Drosophila melanogaster: one gene and its partner. The gene in region 1 interacts genetically with each later gene. Each region holds a gene or a part of one and is shown in the gene's direction. Other genes may lie near its edges.

The links. Genes that interact genetically often act in the same process or in processes that back each other up.
Region 2: of raw (region 1) and slpr, changing one suppresses a phenotype caused by changing the other (phenotypic suppression), as found in Drosophila melanogaster (one study listed by BioGRID).

What each region holds. Positions count from the first base shown.
Region 1 is NT_033779.5:8,736,595-8,743,407, reverse strand, and holds the start of raw (raw), read left to right. Parts: upstream 1-2,747; 5' UTR 2,748-2,994; coding exon of another isoform or gene 2,995-3,023; intron 3,024-6,813.
Region 2 is NC_004354.4:8,169,998-8,180,141, reverse strand, and holds slpr (slipper), read left to right. Parts: upstream 1-2,956; 5' UTR 2,957-3,589; intron 3,590-3,687; 5' UTR 3,688-3,848; coding exon 3,849-4,127; intron 4,128-4,187; coding exon 4,188-4,840; intron 4,841-4,906; coding exon 4,907-5,073; intron 5,074-5,143; coding exon 5,144-5,319; intron 5,320-5,574; coding exon 5,575-5,595; intron 5,596-5,927; coding exon 5,928-6,104; intron 6,105-6,166; coding exon 6,167-6,281; intron 6,282-6,680; coding exon 6,681-8,560; 3' UTR 8,561-9,463; downstream 9,464-10,144. UniProt on the Drosophila melanogaster protein: Activates the JUN N-terminal pathway during dorsal closure.

The sequences.
Region 1 (6,813 bases):
ACCCACTGAAAAGTGTCGACCCTTTTTTTTCCCGCTGCCTTGTGGTTGTGGCGCGACTTAATTCCAAGTCCCCTGTTTTCCTCGAACTCGGCGAAGAGCTGTGAATCTAGAACTGAAAACTTATGTCAGTGGCACGCGTCTGCGGCACGTGACCCCGACATGAAAATCACTCTCAAGATCGCTGAGGATGGCAAATGGATAGGGCTGATGGTGACGAAGGAACTGGGCACTGAGTTCTGGGTGGTATTGTCCAAGTGATGGAGGTGATGAATGCCTGTGTGCAGATGCTTTTAAATTTAAATCGAATCAAATTGATTTGCGCACAGTTCCAGTTTCACTTTTTTACCCACGACCGCCTTACACTCGAAGAAGTCTTTAACTTAGAATCAAAGAGCAGGTGAAAAAAAAATTATTTAAAAAATATATATGTATATATTTTTTTTATATAAGCAACAATGTTAAATAATGTATTGTAGATATTGTAATAAAATATTATTTTTCGTATCAATTTGTAAAGTTTTCTATTTAAGATTTCGAGTTTTTCCTAGTAATATGTGGTATTAATCTTGGATATTGACAGGCACAATATATTCTGATAAAAATACTTTTTAAAACATAATTTTTTGAAGTGTAGTATCAATTGATATCGCCCTTTTTTGGAAAAGAAGAGTGCACCGTGCTCTGACCACGTCCCAGCTCCATTGTTTAGCCATTTGACAAGTGTTTTGACAATATTTATTTGAGTTGCTACAAGCCACGGCAACGGCCACGCCCACAGTCCCGCCCCCTGCGGCATACCACCCCCGCCTCCCTCTTCGCACACTAGAACCACTGCCGCTGGGTAATTTGATTTCCTCGACGCTGCCATCATCTGCATCCTTGACGTCGGACACGTTTCTGCCTAATGGAGTTGCTCGAGTGGCGTGAATTTCAATTAAATTAAATCAAAATGTTGCATTTTTTATTAAGCCCATTAGCGGCACACACGGAAAACCCGCCCCCTCAGAGGACCGCCCGCTGGCCCCTAGTTGGTTAAATTAAGTTAAGATACCACCTCGTCAGTGCGAAAAGAACTTGTATCTTAATGTGCATAATGAAGTGCCAGACTTGACTTGCCATCCAGGAACACCTGGATGTGCCAATATAAATCCGGTGACTGCACTGATCCTACTGCTGCGAGGAAAAGCTATCGGGAAAATCCCAGTTTAGATGAAAATGGGGCCATTCAATAACTGAATTGCTATTTTTGCTAGCAAAATGATTTTAAGGGATTTACTTATTCAATTCATAATTATTTATAAATAGCGAATTCTTAATTTATAGTTTTATATATACACACCTTTTAAATGATTTATGTAAGTTTCTTATTAATAGATATTTATTTACAAGAAAATGTTAAGGAAAAGGCTGCTGTTTTTCCGACTGTTTCTGCGAAAAGCCAAATATCAGTGCACAAGAAGAGTTGGTGGGCGAAGAAAAGTGGAAGTGGAGTTTCCTATTGTTGCACATGCATTAAGAGTAATGCTGCAGTGCTCGGAAAATGCTGGAAAGAGGGTGAAAATGCTACTTTGAGTGGCAATAAACAATGCATAATGAGTTGAGAGTCGCGTTATTATTGTTGCAGCCCGTGGCTGAGACTGTTCATTACTCAAACAGGTAATTTAAATTAAGCCAAAACAATACGCCAAGGTGGCATTTAAAGTAGGTGCAAAACGCATTTCGCCATTAGGAAATTGCCAATTAAGAAGCAAACACTTCTGGGTCCATTCATTACTGCAACACTTGCAGGCAAATCATTTAATTGTCTTTTAAAAATATACTTAAATCAGCAGAGGCGGCAAAGTATTACAAGTCTTCATGCACTTTCTCAGATATGACTAGCCACAAGCACTTAATTCTTGATATCACTTGGAAGTGGCACTTCCAAATCAAAATTATATACATTTAGTAAATAAGAACTATTCGAAAAGACATTTTTCATTTAAAAAGGGAACATTAAGATTTTACTAATTTTTCTATTATCTTAAAGAAAAAATTTTCTAATTTCCACATTCCGTATTTTGTTAATACAACATTTCATTAATAATAATGCAGATATACCCACGATGTCAGGATTTTAAAATAATCTTGAATAATTTGCAAAAGTTAGATCAGAGCAAATATAACATAGATTTAAATTTGTGATACTGTTACCTAACAGAATTTTACAATGTTATTGAAATGTTAATTTTAACACAAAAAAGTGCTCTTCTGCTAATTTTTACATGCACCCAAGACAACAACCATCGAATACAACTGAGTATACGTTCGTTAAAATTTTGGTGGCAACGCTTGTATTCCTAATCTATTAAGATGGCAAGGCTCGTTATCTGAAGAATTTACATTGGCAGCATCAAACATCATTAACTTTGAACTGTTATACAATGGTGCCAATGTAACTTTTTCTCGACAAATGAATTTTGTACTTATTTACCCAAGTGTATATGGAAACAATCAGGTACCGAAAATGTGAACTCTTACAATATATTTTACCTCTTTTTCATCTTAAGTTGTTTTTTTATAAAAGATATCAGCACTGCTGCAAAGACAGCATGCTTTAATATATAATATATATTAATTAAATAAGTTTCACAGTTTTTACGTGGTGTTAACCAACTTACAAAATTCACTCACAAATGTTAACATTCTGTACAAGCATTAGTGTTACCAAATACTCGATAGTATTTTCGCCGTTCCACCAGCTGGTCACACCAGAGACGAATTTAGAAATCTAAAGAGAACCCAACAGTTTCCTAATGCAAATACAATAAACTAATTGTTTAAAATGTGACAACAGTGAACCAAATGCTTGCTGAGTAATAAACCAAAGGATGTTTTGTTTTTTTCTAAAACGTGCCAAGTGAATCGGCTCCACGCAAATGAGAGTGCGGTCTGAAAACAATGGAGCTGCCGTAAAGAATTGATTAAACAAAATAGTCGAGAAGAGAGCGCAAAATGCACAAAATGGTTAAATTATTCCTCAGGTAATTTCAGTCCCAACAAAAACAGCATGTGCCAGATTGCTTTCGTGCTCTTATTGCTGTTGTTGTAGTTCTAGACTCTCTCTTTGCGCTTTAATATTATGAATGACGTAAGCGCGCCTCTTTGGTAGCAATACAAAAGCAATAACAACAATTTGGTTTTGTTGCTTTTGTAAACAAGGAAAATAACAGAATGGTTTTGTACCGCTCGCGTGTGTGTGTGCATAGGTGAGTGGGGAGCTCACTCACCTATGCACACACACACACAAACGCAGGTAAAAGTGGCGTCGTTGGATTTTTACTTGGAAAACGTGTTCGAACTATAAAGAGAAATAGTAAGAGAGAGCTGAGCAGTCTAGCGCTCTTTGCAATGTTATTTCTTTTTTTGGTCAATGACCTAAGCTTTTTCGTCCGTTAGTTGAATTCGTTTCTTTCGCCAATTTCCGTGCTTTTGTGTGCGAGTTAAAAAACTTGGTCTATTTTCACAAAAATCATTGTTTACACTTTGTTGATGTGTAGGTAATTTTCCCAGGCTTTCTTAGCCTCATTTTTCAAGAAAAGGAGTAAACACTAAGTTGGAGGCCAAAGTTGTGAATGGTAAAAAAAAAACGTAATTTTTAAAGAAATTTAAAAAAAAAACTGCCAGCAGTAAACAACGTACAAATCAAAAGAGAATAATTGAGAATACTATAATTAATAGTGTTGTATACATGAAATGTTCAAGAACTTTATTTCCCGAACACATAAAGCATGAAATGAGTCTTCATAGTGTTTCCTTATATCTCTGAAAACAAATAGTATATCACTCGATCATCCAATTGCCTTGCTGTTGTGACATCTTGACAGTAATTAAGTTTATGCACTCAATTGTCACAAAGCCGGAAACAAAAGTGCACAAAGATGTAACATGTTGGTACATTTTTTGCAATGACAACAGCACGCAAATTAGTAAACATTACCGGCCAAATAACAATGCACTGTTTGGAAAATAAAGTAAATATTATGAAATAAATATTATTGTTGTTATACAAAACAGAAAGCAATTACGGAGAAGCAGTAACTGCAGCACAGGTATATTTGCATTCGTGATAACTTTTTGGTAAATAAATTATCTAAGCAATAAAAATGTTTTAAACTTGTAGGATTTTATTTTGGCTTATAAACATAAATACACTTAAAAATAAGTTTTAGGTCGCTTGTTTCAGTTTGTTTCAGAATGTTTTAAGAGCACCGTATAAAATTTTCGAAATTTTCCACAATCTTGAACGGTACTTCTGCGTATTAAGATTAATTGTTTGGCCTTTTATCAGTCTATTTCACTGGAATAAATATTTAACTAGTACTCAGATTTTGTAGGGCACTCTATATGCGGTGTACTTTGCTGACCGAAAAAAAGAGAGATACAAATGTTGAGAATGCGAGGGAAAACGCTTTTGTGATCTTCTTGATTTAAAAATTTTAACGCCAGTGCTGACCGAGCAATTAAAATGTAAACAGGCGGGAAATGAATAAGCGTGCCAGGGAAAAATAAAATGAAATCCCAAAATATTTACAATCATGCAGCAGCAGTTGCACATAAAAACCCAGGAAGAGAAGAACGGAATCTTAACGTGTATGCTTTCGAAAATATACTTGTACCTTAAAATGGCAAATTGGCAATAAGAAACCGACGCGACATTAATATGGCTAGGTAAATACAAAGGCATCATTACCGAAGGTCGTTTTTGTTTGCGTGCGATAAACTTTTTTTCTTTCGACTTTATAGCAAATATTCACGCATACAAACAAACCCGAATGCTTCCCTGTGTTTGCGATTGGTATTATCTGTGTAGGCCTTTGTTATCCAACCATTTGCTTATCTGGGCACGGCTGTCAATGCGTGTGTTTGTGATGGATACTTGATTGAATTGTTGTCCGTATGTTAGCGCCTAAAAAACAATCGACAGCCGCTTATCAGCTGGCAGAAACATAAATAAAATTTCCTCAAACTGAAGCCGAAGGTAAAATGCTCTCTAAATCAATTGCTATTATTAAATAGTATTAGCTTAAGAAGCAAGAAGGTTACGTTTCAAGGGTATACAATAGTCGTTAGCCATGTCATCGTAAAGTCACTGCCCCTCCTCGCACACATTCAAACAGTTTGTCAATCAACCGACAATCGGTTGCCAATCAAACAACAAAAATTCGTGGGTGAGGTGAGTTCTAGATTTTCTTTGGTTAGAGGATGGGAAAATCTGTCTGAAAAGTGGGACAGCAATTGACTGACTAATCGAACACATTGTTTAAGTCAATTATTTCCATTTAAGCTACATGATTCGTTTCGAAAATATTTCACAGTATATGGATGTTTTGAATACTTAGTAAAAATATATAAAATTCGCAATACTTACTTTCAATGTATTTAAAATATCAATTGGATTGGACATAATTTACACTTGTTGCATTCCTTTAACCTTATCCACAAATTAACAAAGTCCAAATTGTTTTCCATTTGAAGTACAAATATTATTGTTTTGTATTTTGTTATCTTATCTAATTCTTCTGAAATGACAAGTTATCCAATAGCAAATATTTGATTACTACAAACTATATTGTAATTATGCAGTAATTTTGTTTTTCCCAACTAAAGATGTTAGGAAAATAGAAACAATCACAACTAGGAATCACTTTCTTATCTGCATCTTCTGTTGTGTTTTGTGTGTCAAGTATAAAAGTATCAACAATATGTTATCCCATTTTATCTCCTCCAATTAAATACCCAAAATAATGGCTACCATTGTTAGTACGTTCAAAAAGTGTAATCCGCGATTATCCGAAACCGCAATTAAAAATGTTTTCACCTTGTTCTCAACCCGTGGCCAGCAATTAATAAGGCTTAGATGGATTTTTGGCCAGCATACAACCCCAGATAACCCACAGTCGCATGGCATCATCGCGAAATGCTCATAAAAGGCGCGTCTATGACAGCATCTCCTCCGCTGGTGCCGTGCAAAATTGAGTATTTTTGGCCAAAACAACAAGCAGGGCAAATAATACACAAAAAAAAACCAACAAAAACCTAAAACAAAGAGCCCAAGCAAACGTCTTGGACATGTGCGCAAAAATCTTTTGAACTTTCGCATTCGAGGCGGGCGAAACAAGTGCCAAGAGCAAACCCTGACATACATTATAATTTGTAGCAACGCCCTCTTTTTTTCGAGACCGATTTTTTTTAATATAGATATATAGTTTTTTTGCGGCTATTTTGTTCACCTACACGCGCGCCTAATCCCATTTCGAGCGGCATCAATAAATTGTCGGCCTGGCAGATATAGCCAGATTTCTATTCGCATTTTTAGCTGTTCAAATAGGTGAGTTTTTTTGTATAGTATATATGGCCACCTATTTGGTAAATAGTCTTTAGAACGCCCACAACAGCTGTTGACACTCACCCACGAAATGGAAAAGGGAAACGCTATGGAAATAGCATTACCTGGTATTCCTATTTTTGGCCAATACCCAGGTGGATCCACAGAAAAAAGTCAAATTAGTGCCGAAGGGAGTCCCATCATTAGTTAGTCACCAAACTCTCGGTCAACTACAATCTATATTCGCATTTTTTCGGACATGAGTAACCGTGATAACTAGTAATTGGGAGCAAATCGGTTTGGACCCAGGTGACTAAGTCACTTCGATCCATAGAAATGTAAATGCACAGTCCGTTTAGGAAAGCTATGGTCTTGCAAACCAATCGACCGTTAATAATGAGGCCTCACTGTTCATTAACCCATTTAAATAAATGAATTTTTGTAAG
Region 2 (10,144 bases), on another chromosome or scaffold:
TTTTTCGCCACTTTCGCAGCGTTTTTTTGGATCCCAAGCACAAGCACATTTTGCGGCGCAGACATAACCTCAACTTCTTGCGCGCTGCTTACCACGCTGCCGGCGTCGCAGTCGGCGTCGCGGCTACCAGCGGCAGAGGCAACAGCTTTACATGGATTTATGTCTATATGTGTGCGTGTATGTATGTGTTTGCCTTTGTGTAAAAATGTGTGTCTGTGTGGGTTTGTGTGAGTGAAGGCAGCCATCCGATTTTCCCCCGATTTTTCTTTTGGCAAAAGCGAAAATAGTGTCAAGGAAACTATTGAGAGACGGTAAAGAAATTAAATAATAGATTAAGTAAGCTGTCAGTCAGCGAGATTTGAGCCAAACTAATTTTAGACTAACAGTTTTACATTTTCATAGTGATAACAGCCTGCAAGCGAACGATTTTCGCTGATATCTTCTATTTTTCTGTTTTGGTTTTGCTTCTATCAGTTATTTGTTCCTTAATGCTTAACAATGTTTTCCCTGCCCTAAAGTTAATAGCATATGTTTAATCGTTTTAATTAACCAATAGTTTACCTCGGTTTTGCGCTGCTGAAACTGCAGTTTGTTGACTTAGGTGATTATTTTAAATTAGTTTTATTACTGGATCTATTTTGGCTTTTTTGTTGTGCGTTTCGTTTTCCTTAAAATTAACTTGATAATTTCTATAAATATATGTATATATATATTTTTTCTTTTAATTTTTTATTTACTCTTTTTTACTCATGTGCGTTTGCATCATTGCCCGTTTTACATTTTCGCCTTGGCTTCTCGCATTTCGATCATTATTTTGTTGTATTTCATTTCAGCCAGGGATTAAAGAACGGCAAAAAAAAGTTACCCAAAAAAAAAACAACAAGAAAATAGCGACACACACACGCGCGCGAAATCACACCCACACATACGCACGCACACACACGCACGCATACGCACACACACACACACACACTGAAAAACGCGCACGCGGCGGAAAAAAAATATGAGCAATTTTTTGTATTTTTTGGTTATATTTTGTGTTCAAATTAGTTGGTGCGTAAAGTTTATTATTTATGTATATTTTCAGTCCGGTTTCCGGTTTCTGCTACATTATTCGTGGGATTTCGTGCAAGATGGCGCATGCAAGACGCTACGCAAAATTTACGATTTTCTTAGCGAAGAGTTAGCTCTCTTTTCGGTTTCTATTGTGTGTGATTAGTTGCGTTTGCCGTATTTTTAGCCCGTTCCGGAGGATTTATTACGTGCAATCCGCCCGTGCGCTGCGCACGCCCGCGTCTGCCGCCGATTTGGAATTGCCACGACGTTGCGTTGAAATGTTGCGCGTAACTGAGTGGCACAGCCTGGTGCTGCCGCCGTTGCTGCTGCCACTTCTGCTGCTGCCGCTGCCGCTGCCGCTGCTGCTGCTGGTGATGCTGGCACACAGCCTCGCCGACCACTGCCGAGACTGCTCTCCTCTCCGGGCGAAGCGAGTGGCGTTTGCCCAGCGGTACAGGTCCTGGTCCTGGGCCGTAGTGTCCTGCGCCGCTCTGCTCCTGGCTCCGGATCCGGCAAAGGCTGTCACTACGACTACGGGAGTTGCGGATGTAGCGCCACATCAGCCAGCAGCCCGGTTTCGTTTCGGTTTCCATCGGCTCGGCACGAGTCGCTCTGTTGCCGAAGCACAGTGGGCCCAATCGGACCATAATTAGATGTTCAAAATTGGTTAATAATATTACAATATTTGTGCAACATAAATGTGAAGAAAATTATCTACGCTATGTTTCTAGCACTCGCTGCTTGTACATTTTTTAGCAATAAAACCTTGAAATATCATAAACATGTGTATAAAGATGTTGAGATGCATAAAATACACTAAATTACAACCAATTAGTTAATTATTGTTTTAAATTATCGGCTTAACTCTTTAAAATGTCATATTTTTATGGTTTTTGAGCGATTGATTAGCATTCCATTCCACTGTGCGATGCCGACGCTGGACCAAAAGGATGAACGGCGCAGCGTCGCAGCCGAAAGGACACGAGCGCCGCCGAACTTTTCAAGGGAGCGTAGCAGAGGGAGGGGACTTACTAAACACATGGCATGGACTAGGCCACCCAGCATCCACAAGCCACTAACACCCACCACCGACCCAATACACACCACCCACCACCCACACAAGGGCGCGTGTTGGGCGCCCGACGAGAGAGTCAGTGGCGTGGGTGGGGGGTTGGTGGTGTTGGTAGTGAGGATACACAGTATACACAGCGTTCCGTTCCGCGATGCAACAGCAACATCATCAGGCCATATCCGCATCGGCAAAACAGGCCAAACAGCCAAAGCGGCCAAAGCAGCAGCAGCAGCAGCAGCAGCTGTAAGCCCCCCTTTTCCATGGATTTCCCCGACTTCTCTGCAAAAATCATGCGCATCACGAAATAGCCGAATATCAAAACGGAAAACATATGACAGCGACATTCCATTTGAAACGTGATTTTAAATAATTATTTCACATTATGTGATTTAATCGAAGTGCATGACATTCGATATATTCAATCTTTAATAGTTTTAAATGAATGCAAGTGTTACAATAGCCCCATTGATGGTAGCATAATTTTCAGTTTGCATTGATAACGACTAAGTTCAATTATTTATTCGATTAAATATTAAGTTGTTAAGTTGTTAAAAACTGAAGAAGTTCAATTAATGCAATCGTTCTGGTTTACGGTACTTTAAATTCAGTTAATTTAAATTTACACATCAACAATGCTTTTGAGTTTTGCATGTATGTTAATAGGATTTAAATACTAAAATTTTTACATTTCAAGCACATTTCAAATTTGAATATTAACGGTCAATAAAATAATCGACATGATAAATACCAATATTGAAAATACTGAATAAGGTATTTTGAAATACCAAATATTTTGCGTTGCCCAACACCGTTTTGATGGCATTTTTTAGTACATTTGCGAATGGAACTAGTATAAATGCAGCAACTGGTTTATGTGAGCCACAACAAAATGATCGACAAAACCTTGTTCTACCACAAATATTAACAATTACCAATATAAAGGTATTTAAACAACTACCTTGATCACAATTTTAGTTAAAATTATGCCAACGAACTGGAACCAAAATCCCAGGTGAACCGCAAATGTAACCAGTTCACTCGGCTGGGTCCAAAGACCAGTTCAATTAAACTAGTTCACATTTGAACAGTGCAACTCTAGTTTTTTTTTTTTAATACATATGTGTTTAAAAAACATATGCAGAAACGGGCTAATAAAACGGATATAACCGATTGCACAGGATCAAGGATAGATCAAAATAACCGACGACGTTAACGGCGACTGCGACTGCGAGAGAGCGACCATGGTGTGCAGCAGCGCGTGTGCGTGTGTGTGTGTTTTGTACCGTGTTGTCTGATTGTGTGCCGTTGTTGTTGTGATTGTTGTTCTCGCTGTTGCTATTGTTTTTGCTCTTGTGCGTGTGGTCAACGGACGGACAGACGGACGGACAGTGGGACACAAGGAGAGTGGAGAATCCGAATCCGGTGGGCAGGAGAGCAGGATTAGCCGCAACATCCTTACCCGTAAGCTGACCCCACCCCACCCCCTTTGGCAACAAATATTACTAAGCTGCTGCTTCTTCTTCGCCCCTTTTGCGGTTTTATCTCTCTTTCACACACAGCGAAACAAAAGCAAGTTAAAAAGCGAAGGAAGCAAAGAGAAAACAACAAAAAAGGAAAAGAAGCAGAAAACAAAAACAAAGAAGAGATTCATGGTTTCCATGTCGCCAACTGTGCGCCTCTGATGCCCTCGCAGGTCTCCCGAGGATTGGACACCACCAACATGCTGCCGATCAGCGAGGAGCAGCAGCTGCAACAGCAGCAGCAGCAGCAGCAGTTAGAGCAACTGCATCATCCGCAGATACCAGAGATTCCCATACCAGATCTAGAGCAAGTCGAGACCCAGGTGGGCGATGGCAGCCTGTGGACCGCGCTGTATGACTACGATGCCCAGGGCGAGGATGAGCTGACACTGCGACGCGGCGAAATCGTTGTGGTCCTGTCCACGGACAGCGAGGTGTCTGGCGATGTGGGCTGGTGGACCGGCAAGATTGGAGATAAGGTGATTGATTACCTTTCTAACAATGAACCATTGAACTAAACCCCAATCTTTCTCCTGCAGGTCGGTGTCTTTCCCAAGGACTTTGTCACCGATGAGGACCCACTGCAACTGAATGTCTCGTCCGCCATTGGCGACATCCAGCCGCATGAGATCGAATACAATGAGCTGGACATCAAGGAAGTTATCGGCTCCGGTGGCTTCTGCAAGGTCCATCGTGGCTACTACGATGGCGAGGAGGTGGCTATTAAGATTGCCCATCAAACGGGCGAGGATGATATGCAGAGGATGCGGGACAATGTCCTGCAGGAGGCCAAACTGTTTTGGGCCCTCAAGCACGAAAATATAGCAGCCCTGCGAGGAGTATGTCTGAATACCAAACTCTGTCTGGTGATGGAGTATGCCAGGGGAGGAAGTCTCAATCGCATACTGGCTGGCAAGATACCACCCGATGTACTAGTCAACTGGGCCATTCAGATAGCCAGAGGCATGAACTATCTGCACAATGAGGCGCCCATGTCGATCATACATCGCGACCTCAAGTCCTCCAATGTGCTGATCTACGAGGCCATCGAGGGCAATCATCTGCAGCAGAAGACGCTCAAGATCACGGATTTCGGTTTGGCCAGGGAGATGTACAACACGCAGAGGATGAGTGCGGCGGGCACGTACGCTTGGATGCCACCGGAGGTCATCAGCGTTAGCACCTATTCCAAGTGAGCTCCATTTCTCTCACACTCTGTCGTCTGTCTTCCTAACTAACAAAACTCCTTACCCGCCAGATTCTCCGATGTTTGGAGCTACGGTGTCTTGCTGTGGGAACTGATAACGGGCGAGACGCCCTACAAGGGCTTCGATCCGTTGTCCGTGGCCTATGGCGTGGCTGTTAACACGCTGACATTGCCCATACCAAAAACCTGCCCCGAGACGTGGGGAGCCCTGATGAAGAGTAAGTGAACGCAATAGACAATGATCCTATACATATTATTGTAATATTTCATTATGTCCAAATCCCGCAGGCTGCTGGCAAACGGATCCGCACAAGCGACCGGGCTTCAAGGAGATTCTCAAACAGCTGGAGAGCATCGCATGCTCCAAATTCACCCTAACGCCCCAGGAGTCGTTTCACTACATGCAGGAATGCTGGCGAAAGGAGATCGCTGGAGTGCTACACGATTTGCGCGAAAAAGAAAAGGTACCAACTGTCTGGAAAACGCCAGGCAAACTGAAAATATAAACTCCCCCTACCTGTTTGAGTTGCTCTAGATCGTTTCTAGACCGTTCCTTGTTGGCCTTACGCCGCGCCCTTCAGTTCTTCCATAGTCGTTCCCCTCTTTCTCCCACTTGGTCGTTGTTGATGAAATTCTAATAATTTGGTATATACTCTCTCTCCAAAACAAAACAATACAAAATTCCCTTGTTTTACAATAAAACATCCAACGACGTTAAGCGTTTCCAAACCATCGAAGAGGTAAGCGCGTCCAACAGGTTTCTCTTGCCCGCCGTTTGCGTTTCAATTGCGTTGCGTTGCGTTTCGTTCTGTTGTTTCGTTTCGTTTCGTTACATTACTTTACTCTATTCTACATTACTTTACTCTATTCTATTTTACCCAAAGTTATCCTGTTTTTTTTTTATTATTGGCTGGATAACTCCCACGATAGAGCCGCACACAAGCCAACAGCTGCATGGTTTCTAGTTCCTAGTTAATGCTATTTTCTAGCACATGTCCCCGTGTACAGTGATCATGCTTAGCCCACACTAACCCGCCACGTTCCACCATGTTATCCCTTTTAATCCCGACAGGAACTGCGCAACAAGGAAGAGCAGCTGCTCAGGGTGCAAAACGAGCAGCGCGAAAAGGCGAATCTCCTGAAGATCCGGGAGCAGAATCTGCGCGAGCGTGAAAGAGTGTTGATCGAACGGGAGCTTGTCATGTTGCAGCCGGTGCCATCGAAACGCAAACACAAAAAGGGCAAAAAGGTATGTGAGTCAAATTAGCCAAAAAAAAATCTTGCATAACATATCTTATATCTATCTTTTAGAACAAACCACTGCAGATATCGCTGCCCACGGGCTTCCGGCACACGATTACGGCTGTACGCGACAAGGCGGAACAGCCGGGATCACCTTCCTTCTCCGGATTGCGCATCGTGGCACGTGAGTACTTTGTCTATCCCAGAGATCTGATTAATTTGAGGGTATTATATATAGTACAGTCCTATGATGAATTATACTTTTCAATCATGGTTTTATGGTATATTTGTTAGACTTAACTCTATGTACGTATGTCTCTGATGAGAATTCAGTGCATTATGCAGGTCTTTGAGATAAGATTAGGCATTAAGTAGACCCAAAATTAGAACAGGAGACTAGACGTCATGGCCATGGGAATGTAAGATACCACCTCGTATCGTTGGACAAATTGAACTAGATTATTTGCATATTTTTGTTATCATTATTTTTGAATTAATTTTTGTATATTTTATTGATTTGCCTTTGGTTTCTTCGTTATGTTCTTATGTTCCGTATTATTTTGATGACATTGGGGTGAATCAGTGACCGATGGGCACAAGGGCAAGACGTGGGGCCCGTCGACGATGCACCAGCGGGAGCGATCCCTATTGCCTTCGCAACTGAGCGGCGGTCAGCCGGAATGGCCCGCCCAGACCTCAACTCACTCCTCATTCAGCAAGAGTGCTCCGAATCTGGACAAGAAGCAGCAGCAGCAGAACCAGCAACAGGTGGCCTCGCTGACACCGCCGCCGGGTTTGGGAATTTTGGGTGGAAGTGGAGGCGCTGGTGGGACGCCGGCCACACCATTGTTGTACCCAGGTATACCCATTATACTAACGCGCCCCAACAACAACAACATTGGCAATTGTAAAGCCATCACCACCACCATCACAACTACCACCACCACAACCACCAACAACAACAACAACAACAACAACAGCATCTCCGCCAACAACAACAATCAGCTAAATAATATTAGTACTATTAATAGCAATAACAATAACAATCAAACTAACCTGACCTCCCAACCGAACACGATAATTGTCCTCCAAAACGGCCGGAACAACTCCAACAGCAGCACCACCAGTCAATCCCCAGCCAAGATCTACCATCGCGCCAGGAGCCAGGAGTACGGACTTGATCATCCGCTTGCTTATCAGCCACCACCACTCTATTTGGTAACGGATGACAGCTCGGAAACGGACACCGTTGCCAGTCCGACCGGTTGCTTTCACTTCCTGAAGTCCGGCAATTCATCGGCGGCCAGTGGTGCCGTGCATCTGCATCGCTTTGGCGGCAGTCTGGGCAACAGTCCAGCTGTGGGCAGAAAGAAGCATTCGCTGGACAGCAGCAGTCATCATCCGCCTGCGAACGGTAGCAATAGCTTTGCACTGCCCAACCAGTTAACTCTGCCATCGGAGGATAACAATACGTATGACCATGCCTTCTATCGGGATGTGATCAAAAAGATGTCCATGGCCAGCAGCGAAAGGGTAAACTCCAAATCCAGTGGCGACCTGACCATGTACAACTCCAGCACACCGCTGACTGCCAGGGATTGCGATGATGCGGAGGAGGCCTTCGAGGGTGGACGCTTTCAGCGTAACTTTTCCGGCTCGCAGTTTCCACGGCACTGCTTCTTCACCAGGCAGGAGGAGGAAGGGGAAGCAGAGGATGAGGACGCGGTGGCGGCGGAGGTGGACACAGCAGATGCGGATGCCGACGATGAGTGTCAAGTGCCCGCCAGTCAGATGCGCCAGAACTCCACCACGTCGCGCAAGAGTTCAGTGACCTTCCAGAGCGTCAGTTTCGAAGAGCCCGATTTTGTGGCCACGCCGCGAACGACTGCCAGATCGGATCTATATACATCCAGTGCCTCAATTAGCTTCGCCACCTACCGCTCCGCCTCGCCATCGCTGTCCTCATCGTCCACCACTGCGTCCGCCTCACCGTCCATTGCTTCTACGGAAGCCGTGAACGGCTATCACATGCAGGAGAACTCCATACTGAATACGCGTCGGATGCAAGATGTTCAGCCGCATCCCGATGTCATTAAGCTGCGGGCCCAGGAACAGCGCCAGCAGACCAAGAACCAAAAGAAGCAACGGCCCAAGCACATAACCAAATCCAAGTCTGTTGAGGCGCCAGTCGAGGGACAGCACCATGAACATGATGACCACAATGATCCCCAGCACCAGCATCACTCGGCTGGATCGAGCAAAATCCGTGCCCTTTTCAATCTCTTTACGCGCTCGCGAAAGAAGTACAGCAAGCTGGCGGAGCACAACATGGTCGGTGGACCCGAGTTCTGTGCCATTGATCCCTATCAAACCGATTTGGCGATGGGGGGCAGCAGTCGCTCTTTGAAGCGCAAAGGCAAAAAGCCGCAGACGCAATCCTGCGAGCAACTGGAGCGATGCTAAAGTCCCAGTTGTGCGCCGTGCTGCAGTGTTGCTGTTGGAGTTGGCCGCCAGATGAGAACCGCCTAATTAGCTCATTGTTTTATATTAAAACTGTAGACTAAGTCAGACGCAAAGGAAGAGCGAAGAGATGAAACAGCAGGCGAGGATTAGCCATAGCTAATGTGTGAAATTAGTAGGGCCCAGAGATACAGATACCTATCCGAATTCTTTCCGTCTAACGAAATCATAGAACTAAACAAAAAACCCCTCTGTCCGCGGTTGGCATTTCATAATAACCGAATTGTTCCTAACGAATGCAATATGTTGTGCGAAATTCACAAATCAAGTTAATCCCTAATTAGTCCAGTGATTTGTTTTGTTTTTTTTTTTGTGCCAGAGGAGTGGCTAGAAAATTGCAATGTGTAGCACAGAAGTGAGGACGAACTTTTGAGGATCAAACGGATAGATAGACTAACGCCGCTTGTACGTAGACAAACAGACACGGAGAGAAAAAACGTGTGCATGGGCCAATGGCAAAATATATTGAACTAAACCATATACATAAATGTGTAACAATTGGATTAACATTAAGCTATATTTATACCGATGCGTAAGTGCGTCCTTACACATTACACATTACACACATCTTAGTTGAACTAAGTTCTAGTTTTGTAGGAACTCGAACATTTTTTTGGAGTCCTTCCTCCTTTTTTTTCACCCCCTCAATCTTTGTAAGAGATATTTTCCAAAATTTCCATCGCTTGCGGCATTTCGTTTGGCTTAAGTACACTTAACGAAAAGTTGCGGTGCACATTAATTTTAATTTGATATTCGACTTTTTTGGTATTTTGAGCACAGTTTTATTTACATACATTTATTATGCAATCGGGTTTTCCATTTTATTTATTTATGATTTATTTCTACAAAAAAAAAAAAAAAAAAGCACAAGAATAATCGCGCAAAAGAAAGAAAGAAAAAAAAACCTGTGATCAAAAAACGATGATGAAACGAAAAGGAAATGATCATTTTTTTGTATTATTTTTATGAAAACTTTCAATTGTATATTTATACTTCATTTTACGATTTGTTCATTCTACGTTTAGTGCTCGATTCTATTTCAATGTACTTTGTATATTATTGTATTTTCCATGTTGGGGCCAAGCCAACCCCAAAAAAAAAAACAAACAAAAAAAAAAGAAGAACCAATACCCAGAAACAGAAATCCGACAATAAAACCAACTTAAGACAATCTGCCGACCAGTTTTGATTGCCTCGCAGCTAAAAAGCACAGAGAAAGTCCAATGATCCAAACTAACATTTAAATTACTTAAACTTATTTAAAGTGAAGCTATCTTTTAATGTCAATTTAACGTGAAAATGACTGAATGAAGAATGGATTTTCTCTGTGCATGAGCACAATCCACAATTTTGGACAGAGAGAGAGAGAGAGAGATTAACCTATTAATATAGGACGAACAGAGTCTCCTTGGTATGCGGTGGTTAAACTTTGGTGTTGCCTGCGGTTACTATCCAACTACTCTTGTACCCCCCGCCTCCGACTATCCGATTACCACCCGACTACCGACCATATCCCAGCCATCGTTC